3 linked regions of the Caenorhabditis elegans genome follow. The protein of the gene in region 3 interacts with the protein of the main gene of each other region in a pairwise test. Each region holds a gene or a part of one and is shown on either strand. Other genes may lie near its edges.

Region 1 (6,681 bases), 4.2 Mb from region 3:
AGGCATCCAATTTTGATCATTTTTGGATGCCTATCGGCCCAAAAGTTGTCTTAATCAACGAATTTCCGCGAGATAAATTACTAAAATAAGGATTAAAGGGTGATAATTTCAGAAAAACAGAAATTCAGCAGCTGTGACAAAGAAAAGTGTGCGAAATTTTAGATTTTAGCAAAGTTTGGCTCTTTTTTTTTCGAAAATTTGACCGGCCATAAAAATGTTTGGAAATTTTTTGTGAAGTCTCATTATGAAATTCGGTGGTTTTGGACCAGTTTTAGTCTATTTAAGCAAAATACCCACAAACTGTACTCCCCCTTTAATGTACACGCCTTGAAACATATTGGTGCATTTTCAGACAATTTTCGAGTCAAGCCAAAATTGTTGCAGAAATTTTCCAAATGCTCGAGCAAAAAGCTTCAAGAAATCTCAAAAATGGAACAATCTGCGTAGAAACTTTACTATTTGCATGATCTTTATGTTTCGTCGGATACACGAAAATTATGAAAATATGGTTTTTGACAAAAAACAACAAAGCCAAAAATGCAGAAAAAAACGACATAATGCCGTCATAATGTCGGCATTATGCCGTTATGCCGGTCATTTTATTTTTCGGCATAACGGCATTTTCGGCATATGCCGTGAATTTTCAAATCGGCATAACGGCATATGCCGTGCTCCAAAAACCGGCATTATGCCGGCATCGGCATATGCCGAATGCCGAATGCCGCACAGGTATGGCGAGAATGATGTGAATATAGGAGACCCGAAGAACTCGGGGGATGTCCAATTGGGGGGATTACCAACTCGGGGGATTGGCCCCGCCCACAGAACCGTGGCTTGCAATACGCCCATTTCTGCAACTGCCGCACGGTTTTAAAATTATTTTTTCTTGTTATTTCTCGTTCTATTGAGAAAAATACAGTTTTAAAACCGTGCGGCAGTTGCAGAAATGGGCGTATTGCATGCCACGGTTCTGTGGGCGGGGCCAATCCCCCGAGTTGGTAATCCCCCCAATTGGACATCCCCCGAGTTCTTCGGGTCTCCTTATTTACATAATCAAATTTGCAGCAATTTTTTGGGATTTTGCAAGCGATTTTCTTTGCATTTCCCGTGATTTCGAACCTTCTTGGCATATTTTTTAAAAGGAATGTTCATAGTTTGCGGAAAACGGAAATTCAAATTTCTCGCGGTCTGAGGCGTCCATAGTGCAGTTTCTTCGCCTTTTTTCTATCAAAATTCAAAAGTAGGTGGGGCCTGCAGTTTTTCGCTTTTTCATTGCTCAGCTTGAAATTTTGCAGCCTCTGATTCGTTGGAAACGCCCAATTTTTTGAAACTGACCAATTGCGAAGCGAAAAACTCCCTCGTTTTCCCCTCTCACTGTAGACGCCTCGGACCGCGGGAAATTCCCGTTTTCCGCAGCCTATGGACGCACAATTATAAATTTTTTTCTTAAGAATCTCCATTAATCACCGTTTTGATAGTTTTCCGCTGTTTTCCTTTAAAAATGCATATATTTCTCAAAAACTAAACAATTCGCGCTTCCGTCATTTTGGAGTATCGTTGTAAGGCGCGACTTTCGAATGTGTCCTCGATCAGCTTGAATAACGTCTCATTTTCTGTTTTTCTTTTATTAATACTTGTCAAAAAGTCGATTCATATTCTAATTTCATTTTCAGAGTTGCTTACTTCTCGCGCTTGGTGCCAAATTATGCTGCCGAGCTCTGGTGAGTTTAAATAATCGAAAATCAGGTCGAAAAATGCATCGAATTCCAGGTGACTCCAGCAAAGAGAACTGTGCTCCACAGGACGGTATCGTTGAGAAAGAAGGACCAAATAAACCTTTTAAAAAGAAGAACGTTAAACAACGGAATGCTACTCCACAAGGCGCGGGTTCCGAAACCTCATCCAATGCAGAAGACAAGCAAGAAGAAGCACCGATTCTAACGAATGCTCCCAAAGACATTATTTCGATGCAAATACAGGAAACGAAGGCATTTCTTAGTGAATATGAGGAGTTCGTTGACACAGATTATCCAAAAAGTATTTTCATTAATTAATTCCAGGCAGTCCATTAAATTTTCAATTTTCCAGCTACCTTCACCCACGTGCCACGAAAGTTTCTGAGTGTTTCGCCATTCACCCCGATTGAAGCCGACGCGGAAGGAGAGTTTCTTCCAGATGCTGACTCAAAATGCGTGATTTGCCACGAAGAGAAGGATAAAACCGGAAAATCTGATTTGATCACATGTCATGGATACATCAATGGAGAAATGGACGACGGCAAGCGTCTCTTGGGAAATATACCAATGTTTCCTTGTCGTAGTAAATTTCACGCGAGTTGTATGATCGTAAGCTATTCGATTATTTTTCTTCATCAAATATCGTGTAAACTTTTAGAATTACAACAGTGGCGGCTTTCACTTTCAATATGCAGCCCGACTCGAATGCCAAGCAAGACTTCTGTGCCCTCTTCATTGCTGCAATAGTTGCAATTTGGACCATCACAAGCAATCGGCTTATGTTGGAGATATTGCAGAATGTGCTCTCTGTCTCCGCGCTTTCCATTTGACGTCGTGTTATCCATCAGGTGGCCGAGATTTGAATGTTTCGATAACAATTGGTGGGAAAGTGGAGAAGTTCGAAATGATAATTTGTCCAGCACACTATCTACCTGGTGCTGATGTTCAATTCTACAATAAACATAAAAAAAGAAAAAACGCCGTCACTGTTGTTCCGAAAGCGGATGTTACAATGAAATCCCATATCAAAGCGTGTTGCGTAATTGGATGTGAGAAATCTTCGAATTCAAAAACAATCATGTGCAAGACTTGTTGCCGATCGTTTCATTCTGGATGTCGAGAAGTGGAAACGCTGAATGGAAAACCGATACCAGACGATCAATGCGAATCGTGTGTTTGTGGAGATCCGATTCCGCAAAATACATTGATTCTCGCGAAGTGGACGGACAATTCGTGCGTTTATAATATCAGAATTATCAAATTCATGTATTTTCTATTCAGATTCTGGCTAGCATTAACACTCGATTGGTACAAGTACCCTACTGGAAATCGTGGTAATATCAACTTTGAACGTCTTGGATATACTGTTGTCCAGTGGCTGATACCCCAAGAAAATGATAAAGAGAAACAACCTCTCATGTCAATTGTGCCGGTCTCGGATATCGCCCGTCTTACCAAGAATTACTTTTCGTTGGCAAAGAATTCGACGCTTAGAAACTTGTGGGAAGAGAAATATGAGGAACAAGCAGATACTGCGTTGAAGAGATGCCCGTACGTGTGTAAAACTGTATTTGGAAGACTGAGAGTGAGTATTCTACTGATTCTTCAGGAAATATCTAATTCGGACTATGGTTTTGTATTTTTCAACGGTTTGGAAAAAGGCTTTTATTCAGCTAAAATTGCGGAACCGACGAAAGTTAATATCTCAACCAACGGAACATTACTTTTAAAAAATTAAAAAAACAAAAAAGTTCTGAAATTTGTCAGATCTGCAATATTTGAGATTTTAGCTGAAAAAATGTCATTTTTTTCCAAAATTTTGAACCGTCTAACTTCTTTTTGGAGGAAAATGAGAATGTCTCATTACGAAATTTGGTAGTTTTAGACCATTTTGGGACAAAAGTGCAAACAGTGCTGCAGAAAAATTCAGCTAAAAATTGCCGAAAAACTTAACAATTATTTTCTTACTTTTAACCGATTCAGATTTATTTATAGCAATTTCTTCATAATTCCAGACATCTGTGTACTACAAATGCGAACCAAAACTGGAAGAGTATCACAACAACGAAGTTTGCAATTGTGAAGGAGCTGACCGCTGTACAAAGCTGTCGTGTCAATATCTCGCCGATGATTATGAATGTCCCCCGAGTTGTTCGAAAAAGGGCGTTTGTCATAATCGTCAAGTTTCCATGGGAATAGTTAGCGAGAAAATCAAACTGGCAGCCACTTTGTGTAAAGGATACGGTGTCTTTGCGAAAGGTCAAATCGAAAAAGACGAATACATATGCGAGTACGTTGGAGAAATAATCGATAAAGCTGAAAAGAAGAGGCGCTTGGATTCGGTTTCAATTTCGCGAGATTTCCAGGTAAGGAAAAAGTTTTTTTGCGATAAAAACACGAATTTTTACTTTTTCTTTTAACCGAATTTTAGAACAAAACGTTCTGAAATTTTCTCAAAAAAAAGTTACGGCGATTCAAAGTTTTGGGAAAATGCCTATTTCCAGCTAAAATTTTATATTTTGCCAATTGTCATTTTCAGAAAAAAATACGAAATTTGGTAGATTTGGGCTATTTAGGTCTAAGAAGCAAAATATCAGAGTTAAGTTATCAACGTATAACTTTCCAAATACTCTTTTTTTTCAAGGCGAACCATTATATGATGGAATTGCACAAAGGATTAACCGTGGACGCTGCCAGATACGGTAACATCTCCAGATACATCAATCATTCTTGCGATCCCAACGCTGCATCTTTCGTTACAAAAGTGTTCGTTAAGAAAACCAAAGAAGGCAGTTTATATGATACTCGCAGTTATATTCGGGCAATTCGCACTATTGACGACGGCGACGAGATCACGTTCAGTTACAATATGAACAATGAGGAGAACTTACCAGACTGTGAATGTGGAGCTGAAAACTGTATGGGTACAATGGGAAAAGCGAAACGCGAGAAACCGGAAGTGGCTGATAGTTCCGAGAAAGCTGCTAAAAAGAACAAATCGTCCAAGAAGAAATCTGTAAAAAATCAGAATAGAAAGAGCCAGGAGGTACCAACTTTTTTTCTAAGTTTCAACATTTTGATTTTATTTCTTATTTTCAGGCCGGAAAGAACGGAACCGCATCTAAGAAATCAGAAATTTCTCCTTCGAAACCATCCACAAGCTCCGCGTCGAGCACTTCCTTCGTCCAACAAGCATCATGGCCAATTTCCCAGAATAAGAAAAATTTAAAGGTATTTTTTGGAGATTAAATCGATCAATTGCTGCCAGCAATGATGTCGGTTTTTCGATTTTTCACTAAAATCGAAAATGTTCGTTTTCACGAAAAATATCTTTCAAAAATTTTGTAATTGTTCTTCTTTTTAGAGAGAAATTTAAAAAAATGTTTTCTTATTTTATTCATCAACATAAACATAATTTGATTTTAAAAAAAAAGAACTTTATGGTTAATTTTTAAAACATTTTTTTCGAGTTTTTTCGGAAATAGAAAATTTTAATTATTCGATTTTTGATGGCACCCTTGGTTGCTAGAGTTAACTTGGTCTAAATCGAATTTTCAATTCAGGTACATAGCCATTAAACATAATTTGTTTTTCAGAAGAATTCCAATCAACCTGTAGCCGACACCGGATCAACATTGAGTACATCTACAGAGTTGAATTTCCACGAAAAACCGCAAGAACTCTTGAGCCCTGTTTCATCGCGATCGCGCGCAGCTTCATCTTCAACACCACGGGCACAAAAATCAAAGGTACGATAATCATATTAGTATTAATATCGATTATATTCGATTATATTCACAGAGCCGTCGAGATGATGTGGAAAGTGAAGCGCCACCTGTGAAACGAGCTACGCCATCATTGCAAACAATTCAAGAAACCGGAAAAGCGATAGAGTTTCCTGCAACCAAGTCGGCTATCACAAAAGCACGAGCGTTGTCGACACAATCAGTTCCATCACCTCATACTGTGGAGGTCAAAGTTAGAGCAATATCTACTCGTGGACGAGTTCAAAAAGAGACAAAACGGTTTGAACCGATTTGAAAAGTGAAATAATATGCTGTCTCGCCCAATTGAACTCTTTCCAATAGTCTTCCAAGTACTAAATTATGATTTTACTTCAATTAGTTTCAATCAACAGTGCCCTCATTCTTTTTAATCGTACTATGAGTTTTTCCTGGACTGTCGACACAATTTTTGGAAACGCTGAAATTCATTTGACCAACGTTCAAAGAATAACGAAGACTTTCCTATTCATCTTTTTTGAAAATTATTTTCACACTAAACTAGGGGTTTTATTATTGCTTTAACCATTGCTTTCATTCACTTGTCATTTTTTTTTCCCTATGTGTTCTTTCGTTCTTGTTACTGCGTCCCATCATATCGATAAATACGACTTTTTTTTCTCATCTGTAATAAATACCTTTGCAAATTACAAAACAGAGTTAAGCGCTGCTTTATGACGATAAAGAGAAACTGGAGAAGATTAAGAAGAACACAATGGAACGACTTGTTTTGAAAAAAGACATTGGAGTCGATGAATCACTGCTAAAGATTTTGATTCGGAAGTAAAAAAATGCACATTATTGAGAAACCACGTGTCATTTAATTTCCCTATGCACAATAACAAAGGATCTTCGGATAGACTTCTTGAAAGAAGACTGAAACCATTTGAGCGGAAGCGATAATTCATTCATTAATTATTTTATGTTCGCTTGTTATACGACAAAATTCTAAAAATTTCAGTCTTGCACCATTTGCCAATTCAATAATGCACGCGTTCTTTGAAATATGGCACTGTATATGGGCTTTACTTGGATGCTCATTCAATTTAATGCTCATTTACATGGCTATCTATAAATCACCGAAGACAATTCGTTCGTATGCAACTTTGATTATCAATTTTGCTGTTACCGACTTTTTCGAGTGTGCTTTGGATTTGTTCATC
Region 2 (4,724 bases), on a different chromosome or scaffold from region 3:
AAAATATCCAATTTTTATTGAATTTTTCAGAGTTTTCAGTGAAAAAATCCAATTTTTCCGAATTTTCAGTAAAAAATCCAATTTTTCCGATTTTTCAGTGAAAAATTCAAATTTTCCCGAATTTTCACGTGAAAAACGGCAATTTTCACGAATTTTCCCGAGTTTTTAGTAAAAATATCCAATTTTTATTGAATTTTCGATGAAAAATTCGAATTTTTCCGAATTTTCGATGAAAAATTCGAATTTTTCCGAATTTTCAGTGAAAAAATCGAATTTTCTCGAATTTTCAGTGAAAACTGCCAATTTTCTCGAATTTTTCCGAATTTTCAGTGAAAACTGCCAATTTTCTCGAATTTTTCCGAATTTTCAGGCAAAAACTGCCAATTTTCTCGAATTTTTCCGAATTTTCAGTGAAAACTGCCAATTTTCTCGAATTTTTCCGAATTTTCAGTGAAAACTGCCAATTTTCTCGAATTTTTCCGAATTTTCAGTGAAAACTGCCAATTTTCTCGAATTTTTCCGAATTTTCAGTGAAAACTGCCAATTTTCTCGAATTTTTCCGAATTTTCAGGCAAAAACCGCCAATTTTCTCGAATTTTTCCGAATTGTCAGGCGAAAAATTCCATTTTTCCGTACCAACAACGGGCACTGCAGACTGTACAGATCCACGTGGAACCTGTCCAGCCGCCTGCATATTCTTGTACTCCATCGGTGTAGTTGTCTCGAATCCAGTCGGCGGAACATCCCAGAATCGGTACTTTTTGGGCTCACGAGGCTTCTGGGGCTCCGGCTCACGGCGCGAACGGGCTTCATCATCACCTCCACGACGTCTCGGCTCATCACGACCACCACCGCCTCGACGACGTTCACGGGATCGAGAACGATCACGATCACCTCCACCTCCACCACCACGACGTTCTCCACGATCACGACTGAAAATGGGGGGTTTTTGGGGTTTTTTGCCGGGAAAAATCGATTTTTTTGCGATTTTTTAGGTTAAAAAATGCGGATTTTCAGTGACTTTCAGCTAAAATCGCAATTTTCCAGTGTAAAAATCGATTTTTTTTGCAATTTTTTGGCTAGAAAAATTGCAATTTTTGGCAGTTTCGCAGGTTTTTGGCGGGAAAAATCGATTTTTTCGCGATTTTTTGGCTAGAAAAATGAGTTTTCATGCAGAAAAATTGCAATTTTTGGCAGTTTCGCAGGTTTTTGGCGGGAAAAATCGATTTTCTCGCGATTTTTTGGCTAGAAAAATGAGTTTTCATGCAGAAAAATTGCAATTTTTGGCAGCTTCGCAGGTTTTTGGCGGGAAAAATCGATTTTTTGCGATTTTTTAGGTTAAAAAATGCGGATTTTCAGTGATTTTCAGCTAAAATCGCAATTTTCCAGGGGAAAAATCGATTTTTGCGCACTTTTTTGGCTAGAAAAATGAGTTTTCATGCAGAAAAATTGCAATTTTTGTCAGATTCGCGCAGGTTTTTGGAAGGAAAAATCGATTTTTTAAGTTAAAAATGTAAATTTTCGCAATTTTCCACTGGAAATTCGATTTTTCGCCAACTTTTGGACAGAAAATTTGACTTTTCCGTGGAAACTCAGCTAAAATTGCGATTTTTTGAAGGTTTTTGGGCGGAAAGATGGATTTTTCGCAAATTTTTGGACAGAAAAACCATTCTTATTGCGTTTTTCAGTACAATTTGAGTAAAAACCGCCACTTTTTATTGTAAAAATTCAAAATTTTTAGGTAAAATTTGACCAAAGAACGCAATTTTCCACTGGAAAATCGATTTTTTGCGGTTTTTTGGACAGAAAATTAGACTTTTCAATGGAAATTCAGCTAAAATTGGGACTTTTTGGAGGTTTTTGGGCGGAAAAATGCGAATTTTTTTGGTGGAATTTAATTAAAAAATCTATTTTTGGCGAGTTTTTGAACAGGAAAATGGATTTTATCGTTACTTTTTAGGTTAAAAAAATGGGAATTTTCGTGGGAAATTTAGCTAAAATTGCGATTTCTCGCTTCCACGACTGAAAATTTCGGGGTTTTCGGCAGGAAAAATCGATATTTTACAACTTTTTAGGTTAAAAAATGGGAATTTTCGGTGGAATTTGACCAAAAAACGCAATTTTCCAACTGAAAATCGAATTTTTGCAAACTTTTGGACAGAAAATTTGACTTTTCCGTGGAAATTCAGCTAAAATTGCAATTTTTTGGAGGTTTTTGGAAGGAAAAATCGATTTTTTGCGATTTTTCAAAGTAAAAAATGCGAATTTTCGGTGGATTTTCAGCTAAAATTGCATCTTTTCCGCTTTTCCTGTGAAAAAATCGATTTTTCATAGATTTTTGGCAAAGAAAATGAAAATTTTGGTGGATTTCTTCAAGCAAAAATCGATTTTTTAAAGAGTTTTTTGGCAGGAAAAATGGGATTTTCGGTAGTGTTTTTCATGGAAAATCATCAAATTTCGCTCTGAAAATCCGATTTTGGGTCAATTTTCTTCAAATTTAGACCATTTTCTAGCGGAAAACTCGATTTTCGCAGAGTTTTCGACGAAAATCCTCGAATTTTTGCTCTAAAAATGTTGATTTTCTGGGTTTGAAGTCATTTTTAAGCCGTTTTTCATGCAAAAAGCGATTTTCAGCGTAATTCTGGCCAAAAAAAAACAAAATTTCCTCCTAAAAATCCGATTTTGGGTCAATTTTCTAGCGGAAAACTCGATTTTCGCCGAGTTTTCCACGAAAATTCTCGAATATTCCGTCAAAAAATGCAATTTTTTCCAGCTTAAGCACCTTCTCGAGCGTCTTCTCGTATCGCGATCTCTACTTCTCGATCGTTTTCTCTTTTTCCGATCATTATCATCCTCTCCACCACCACCACCAGTCGATGATTTCAGATTTTCTTCATTTTCCAGTGGTCCAGTGGTCGGCTGAATCGCTTCGAGACCTCCTTCACGTTGAGCAACGTCCAAAAATTGGCGTTCAATATCTTCAAGTTTCATGCCATCCTGGTGATCACTCATCTGGAAAATTGGGAATTTTCTTTAAAAAATAGAGCTGAAAATCCGGAGAAAATGGATGGAAAAATTTGAAAATTTGGGCAGAGGTTCCCCGGGAAAGTGGTCAAATGTGCTCCTGTGAGCAATTTCGGGTGGAAAATTCCAAAATTTTGTAATTTCTAATGCAAAAGTTTGGAATTTTCACACCAAAATCACCGATAGAGCACATTTGCCACGGAAAATTGAATTTTAATCTGAGAGTTTAGCACATTTTTGCGAGAAAAACTGAAAAAAAAATTTTGCAGTTTTCTGAGTAAAATTGGTTAATTTTTTCAGGATTTTCCTGAATTTTGGGCTCCGAGAGCATTTTTGGATACTAATTCCACATTTTTCAATTTTTCTCGAATTTTCACGTGAAAAACGGCAATTTTCACGAATTTTCCCGAGTTTTTAGTAAAAATATCCAATTTTTATTGAATTTTTCAGAGTTTTCAGTGAAAAATTCCAATTTTTCCGAATTTTCTGAAAAAAAAAACCGAAAATTCGGAGAAATTCACGAAAAAATGGGTTTTTTTAATGGAAAAATAGCTGAAAATTCGGTGGAAATCGCGAAAAAATGAGTTTCTCTGAAAAAAAAAATAGCCGAAAATCAGGGGAAAACCGCGGAAAAATGGAGACAATTGGGCGAAAATGAGGAAATTTGGCGATTTTTTGGAAAAATCGTTGAAAATTCGGTGGAAATCGCGAAAAAATGGAGGTTTTTCTGAAAAAATAGCTGAAAAACCCGACAAAATGGCGAAAATATGGAAAAAAATAGGGTGAAAGTGAGAAAATTTGGAGTTTTTCTGGAAAAAATTGCTCAAAATCGCGAAAAAATGGAGAAAATTGGACGAAAATGAGGAAATTTGGTGATTTTTTAAAAAATTGCTTAAAATTCGGTGAAAATGCTGGAAAAATAGCTCCAAAACGATAAATTGTGAGAAAATAAACGGTATTTGAGTGAATTTGCCGAAAAAATAGGAGTTTTTCTGGAAAAAATAGCTGAAAATCCCGAGAAAATGGCGAAAATATGGAATAAAAAGGTTGGAAATGAAGAAATTTGGGGTTTTTTGGCGAAAAATTGTTTAAAATTCGGGAAAAACCGCGAAAAAATGGAGAAAATAGGTTGGAAATGAGGAAATTTGGTGATTTTTTTACGAAAAAAAAAGAAAATTCGGTGAAAATGCTGGAAAAAAGAGCTCCTCGCTAAAATAGGCGAAATTTGAGTGAATTTGCCGGAAAAAACTGAGATTTTTCTGATAAAATAGCTGAAAATTCGGTGAAAATCGATAAAAAATAGCTTAAATGATGAAAAATCGCTGAAAAATGAGATTTTGCTGAAAAATAGGTAGAATCTATAAAATTTCGGGGAAAATGATGGAAATAATAGAAAAATGGGTAAAAGCACACACAAAATTAGGCTGAAAATCAATAAAATTAGGTGAAAAATGACAAAAATCTCCCAAAAAAATCGATAAAAAAATAGCTGAAAATCTGCAAAAAATCGATGAAGATATGCTGAAAATCGCTGAAAACGAGAGAAAAAATAACACAAAAATCCAATAAATTACAGGAAAAATGTTGCAATTTTATAGCAAAAAAACGGGGCTTAAAGGCACTGAAAATGTGTGAAATTTGACAAGAATTATGTGAAATTGGGGGATTTTCGGGTGGTTTTTTGTACAATTTAGCGGGGA
Region 3 (3,754 bases):
ATTTTTTTATTTTCAGAAACCGACAGCCAATTGCGGTTCAAGCATCTTATATTGACGATGAATCCGACGGAAAATTGAAAAACGAGGAGAAGCAGAATCAACAAAATGCTACTCAACCACCTTACTGTTACACAAATCAGAACCCAACTCCCTACCAAAATCAAAATCAAATTCAGAACCAAAACCAGTATTCAAATTATTATCGTACACCAAGTCTTTCAAGAGGAACGGATAGCCGTCCTGTGTCCACTGCAACTGACACTGACCAAACCAAAAAACAATCGATGAGTACATTCAAATAATTCTCTCATTTCAGTTCACATTTCCCATGACCCAGTTATATTTTGATCTAAACTCGTGAATCTGCGGTTTTGCAGTCTAATCTCTACCTCTTCCCGTTTCTAGTTCCGTTTTGTTGTATTTAATACCTTCGTGTTCTTCCCGGTAATTACACATTATCATTTTTGTTCACAATTCGCATATCTCACAATTCACTTTTCACTCCAAACAAAAAATATGTTGACCAAATTTATGCATAATGAACATAATATTAATATTGACGGCGTTAAAATTTATTTCGATTGGAGGGACTTAGCAAATCCAACACGTTGAGTTCCAACATCATAGATCTGAAAATTTCAACTTTTAAATTAAAAAAAATTATGTCGTTTTTTTATTAGGTTTCGTTGTGTACTTACGTTACAATATTGACGAATGAATGGATCTCCAAGAATCCATGATGGTCCAAAACCTCCACTGCTGAATGGGAAGATGGCGTAGATGCAATTGTTGCTTCCATCTCCGAGTGGAATAATGGTGTTGGATGAGTCAATATTGTATACTTGGTTTCCAATGGTGATATCAAGAGTGTTGATCTTTGCAGAGCATGGAAGGATGTATACACCGTAATCATCTCTCCATGTGGCTCCAACAGCGTCAGCAATAGCAGAAACGTAGGCCTTTGGTCCTCCGATGAGAGAAGTTCCGGTGTCGGAGATGACTTGCCATCCCTTGCTAGAGTGATAGCTTCCAGATCCAATAGCACTCATCTTGAATTGGTAATAAGTGGCAGAGGACAATGGTTGATAAGCGATAACTGGACCACAGTTCTTTGTATCAATTCCTCCATAAGTGTAGACTCCTCCTTGAACTCCGTTTTGATCTCCTTCATGCTCAAGGAAGACGGTGAAAAGTGGAAGATCAACAAGGTTTTGGTTGATGGCGTTGATGAATGGTGGAGTGATTTGATCAACAGCAATCGATTTGAACGCAAGTCCAAGGATTCCATCAAGAGGTTGTCCCTCGAAGAAGGCAGCAAGTGAGGTGGCTTGTCCGAAAACAGTGTTTGGAACAGCGAGTTGTGGTTCTCCAATTCCTCCGAAGGTGATAGTGTCCTGTCCAAGGAATCCTCTGGCGGATCCTGTTCCATACTCAATAATGAAGTTTCTTCCATTGGTCTTGTATGAGGAAGATTTGGAAGCGTCAAACTTGTTTTGGTAGAAGCAAGAATCGGTGTAGTTCGCTCCAGCTCCACAGCAAGCTTGGTCGTCGCATTCGAATTGGCAAATAACTATAAAATAATTGCAATTAATGCATCAAATTGTACAATTGCATGAGAGCAAAATTCAAGAAATGAACTTTAATACCACACGAGACTACATTGCAGTTTAATAGTTCCATAGAAATACGCGTATACTTCAAAAGAGACATTTGACAGCTAGATAAGGCAATAAATTTTTCAACTTTTCAACGACACATATTATGATTTGAAAACTTACTTCCACGGCAAGCTGGAACGGTTGAGCAATTTTCTGGCTTAGTTCCACATGTGATGTCTGGGATCCAAAGATTGGATGATCCAGTATCAAGAATAACCTTGAATTGTTGTTGTGGAGTTCCAATGGTGATGTTTCCGACGTATGCTTCATCTTCGTAATCGTTGACGTATTGTCCAACAGACATATCATTTGATTGCTTGTTCATCATGAAACGACGAATCTCACGATCCTTTCTGTACTGAACCCATCTTCCTTCACGGATCAATCGGTTTCTGTATGGCTCAATTTTCACGAGTGGAACTTGCACAACTGCAGCGAGAGCTGCTGCCACAAGGGCAAGCAACAAAAAAAGGTTCTGCATACCTGAAATGATTTTGATTTGGAAAATGGACTAGAATTGAAAGTAGCAGGAACGAAAACGAGGAAAGTGAAATGAGTTGATGCTGAACTAAAATGAATTGCATAACGAAAACGGTTATCTTAATGAGGTGGGCATTGACGCGGAGAAACTATTGATAAGTGCTCGTAAACTGTAAGATAAGAGACAAATCCGGTGTAATGAAAGGACATCAAAGTTGAGAATCAGCCTGAAAATGTATTTTTACAAATGATATCAGTTTCGCTTGACTCTAAAATGATGTAGTAACGAAAAGACGGACTTCCAGAACAAGTAACAATTTTCAAGCATACATAGACATTTCGAACCATCCTAAAGTTTTTATTATTGAATGTATACCAACTTTATTTGTTGAATTATGTTTATATTTTAGTTCAATTAACTTTACAATTATTAGTAGACGTAAAAACATGAAAAGCTTTTATGATATATAAATTTAATGCAAGCTGGCAGAAAATGCGATTTGTTGGTTTCCCATATCATACAATGCACAAAGTCGCGAATAAATGGACTCCCTAGCACCCACGATGGCCCGAATCCGTTATTTGTAAATGGCAGGAAGACCATTTGACAAGTTTGAACAATGCTGTCAGCTGAAGTACAATCGATATTGGTTATTATTTAAGAAAACTTACGGAACGGAAGAATGAGGTTTTGAGGAGAAACTTGGTAAATTGTACTACCAATTGTGAAGTTAACTTAAAGAATTTTTGGCTCGCAATCAATTAGATAAACTTCGTTTTTTGAATCCCACTGAAATTTTACATAACTTGGAAGAATATGCTATTGCAATTTAATCATACAGTGGCTCCTGCTGCATCAGCAATTCCAGCCACGATAGCTTTGGGTCCATAGATAATAGAGCTTGCTGTATCTGATAAAGCAGTCCATCCATTCCTTGCAGAATAAGCTCCGGACGATACTGACGTCATCTGAAATGATCTTGTGATTTGTCTTTAAAACTGTTGTATACTTTCAAGCCGACTTACATAAAACTGATAAGCAGCACCTGTCGTCAATGGGTGATACTGTTTTACTTTTGCACAGTTCTGAGTATCTTGTCCGCCAAAAGTGATTTGTCCAGCTCTATTTGGACGATTCCCAAGATAAACATGAAATATTGGATCAACCAGTTTCTGCAGTCAAATATTTTTTTGACAGAAACAAGATTCCATTTTTTTAAACTTCTTGCTAAAACTTGTGTTTTCTTCTAAAAATTAAAACGCTAACTTGCCCAACTGCATTAACAAACGGAGGATAAATATTTTGTTGTGAATTAGCTAAGAATCCGAGACCCATGATTCCATCGATATCTTCCTATAAATAAAATAATTGTTATGATACAATTTAAAGTTTTTACATATTTTTAATAGCTGAAAAGTTGAGATCCATTAAAAACTACGACCTGCTCAAAAAATGAAGGAATGCACACTGCTGTAGCAACAACAGTGTCTGGAACAATCAATTGACTTTCAGATATTCCACCAAATGAAACAGTATCAAATCCCAGAATACCACTGGCACTGTCGGAACCGTACTAAAAACAAATTGATTTTAAAGATTTTTGACTCAAAAATTG

What was found.
Region 1: the proteins of asp-2 (region 3) and mes-4 interact in a two-hybrid assay, tested with the Caenorhabditis elegans proteins (one large-scale study listed by BioGRID).
Region 2: the proteins of asp-2 (region 3) and uaf-1 interact in a two-hybrid assay, tested with the Caenorhabditis elegans proteins (one large-scale study listed by BioGRID).

Annotation. Positions count from the first base shown.
Region 1 is NC_003283.11:13,432,538-13,439,218, reverse strand, and holds mes-4 (Histone-lysine N-methyltransferase mes-4), read left to right. Parts: upstream 1-1,673; 5' UTR 1,674-1,705; coding exon 1,706-1,721; intron 1,722-1,770; coding exon 1,771-2,037; intron 2,038-2,088; coding exon 2,089-2,345; intron 2,346-2,394; coding exon 2,395-2,969; intron 2,970-3,017; coding exon 3,018-3,321; intron 3,322-3,751; coding exon 3,752-4,102; intron 4,103-4,380; coding exon 4,381-4,782; intron 4,783-4,835; coding exon 4,836-4,967; intron 4,968-5,332; coding exon 5,333-5,485; intron 5,486-5,537; coding exon 5,538-5,777; 3' UTR 5,778-6,169; downstream 6,170-6,681. Other genes in the region: srd-17 (Serpentine Receptor, class D (Delta)), read left to right, coding at 6,505-6,681. UniProt on the Caenorhabditis elegans protein: Histone methyltransferase. Dimethylates 'Lys-36' of histone H3, a specific tag for epigenetic transcriptional activation. Plays a central role in early development and is responsible for all H3 'Lys-36' dimethylation until about the 40-cell stage.
Region 2 is NC_003281.10:1,073,544-1,078,267, forward strand, and holds the start of uaf-1 (Splicing factor U2AF 65 kDa subunit), read right to left. Parts: upstream 3,013-4,724; coding exon 2,783-3,012; intron 933-2,782; coding exon 637-932; intron 1-636. UniProt on the Caenorhabditis elegans protein: Necessary for the splicing of pre-mRNA. Binds to the polypyrimidine tract of introns early during spliceosome assembly.
Region 3 is NC_003283.11:9,201,464-9,205,217, reverse strand, and holds asp-2 (Peptidase A1 domain-containing protein), read right to left. Parts: upstream 2,142-3,754; 5' UTR 2,140-2,141; coding exon 1,779-2,139; intron 1,571-1,778; coding exon 699-1,570; intron 630-698; coding exon 573-629; 3' UTR 520-572; downstream 1-519. Other genes in the region: inx-10 (Innexin-10), read left to right, coding at 17-302.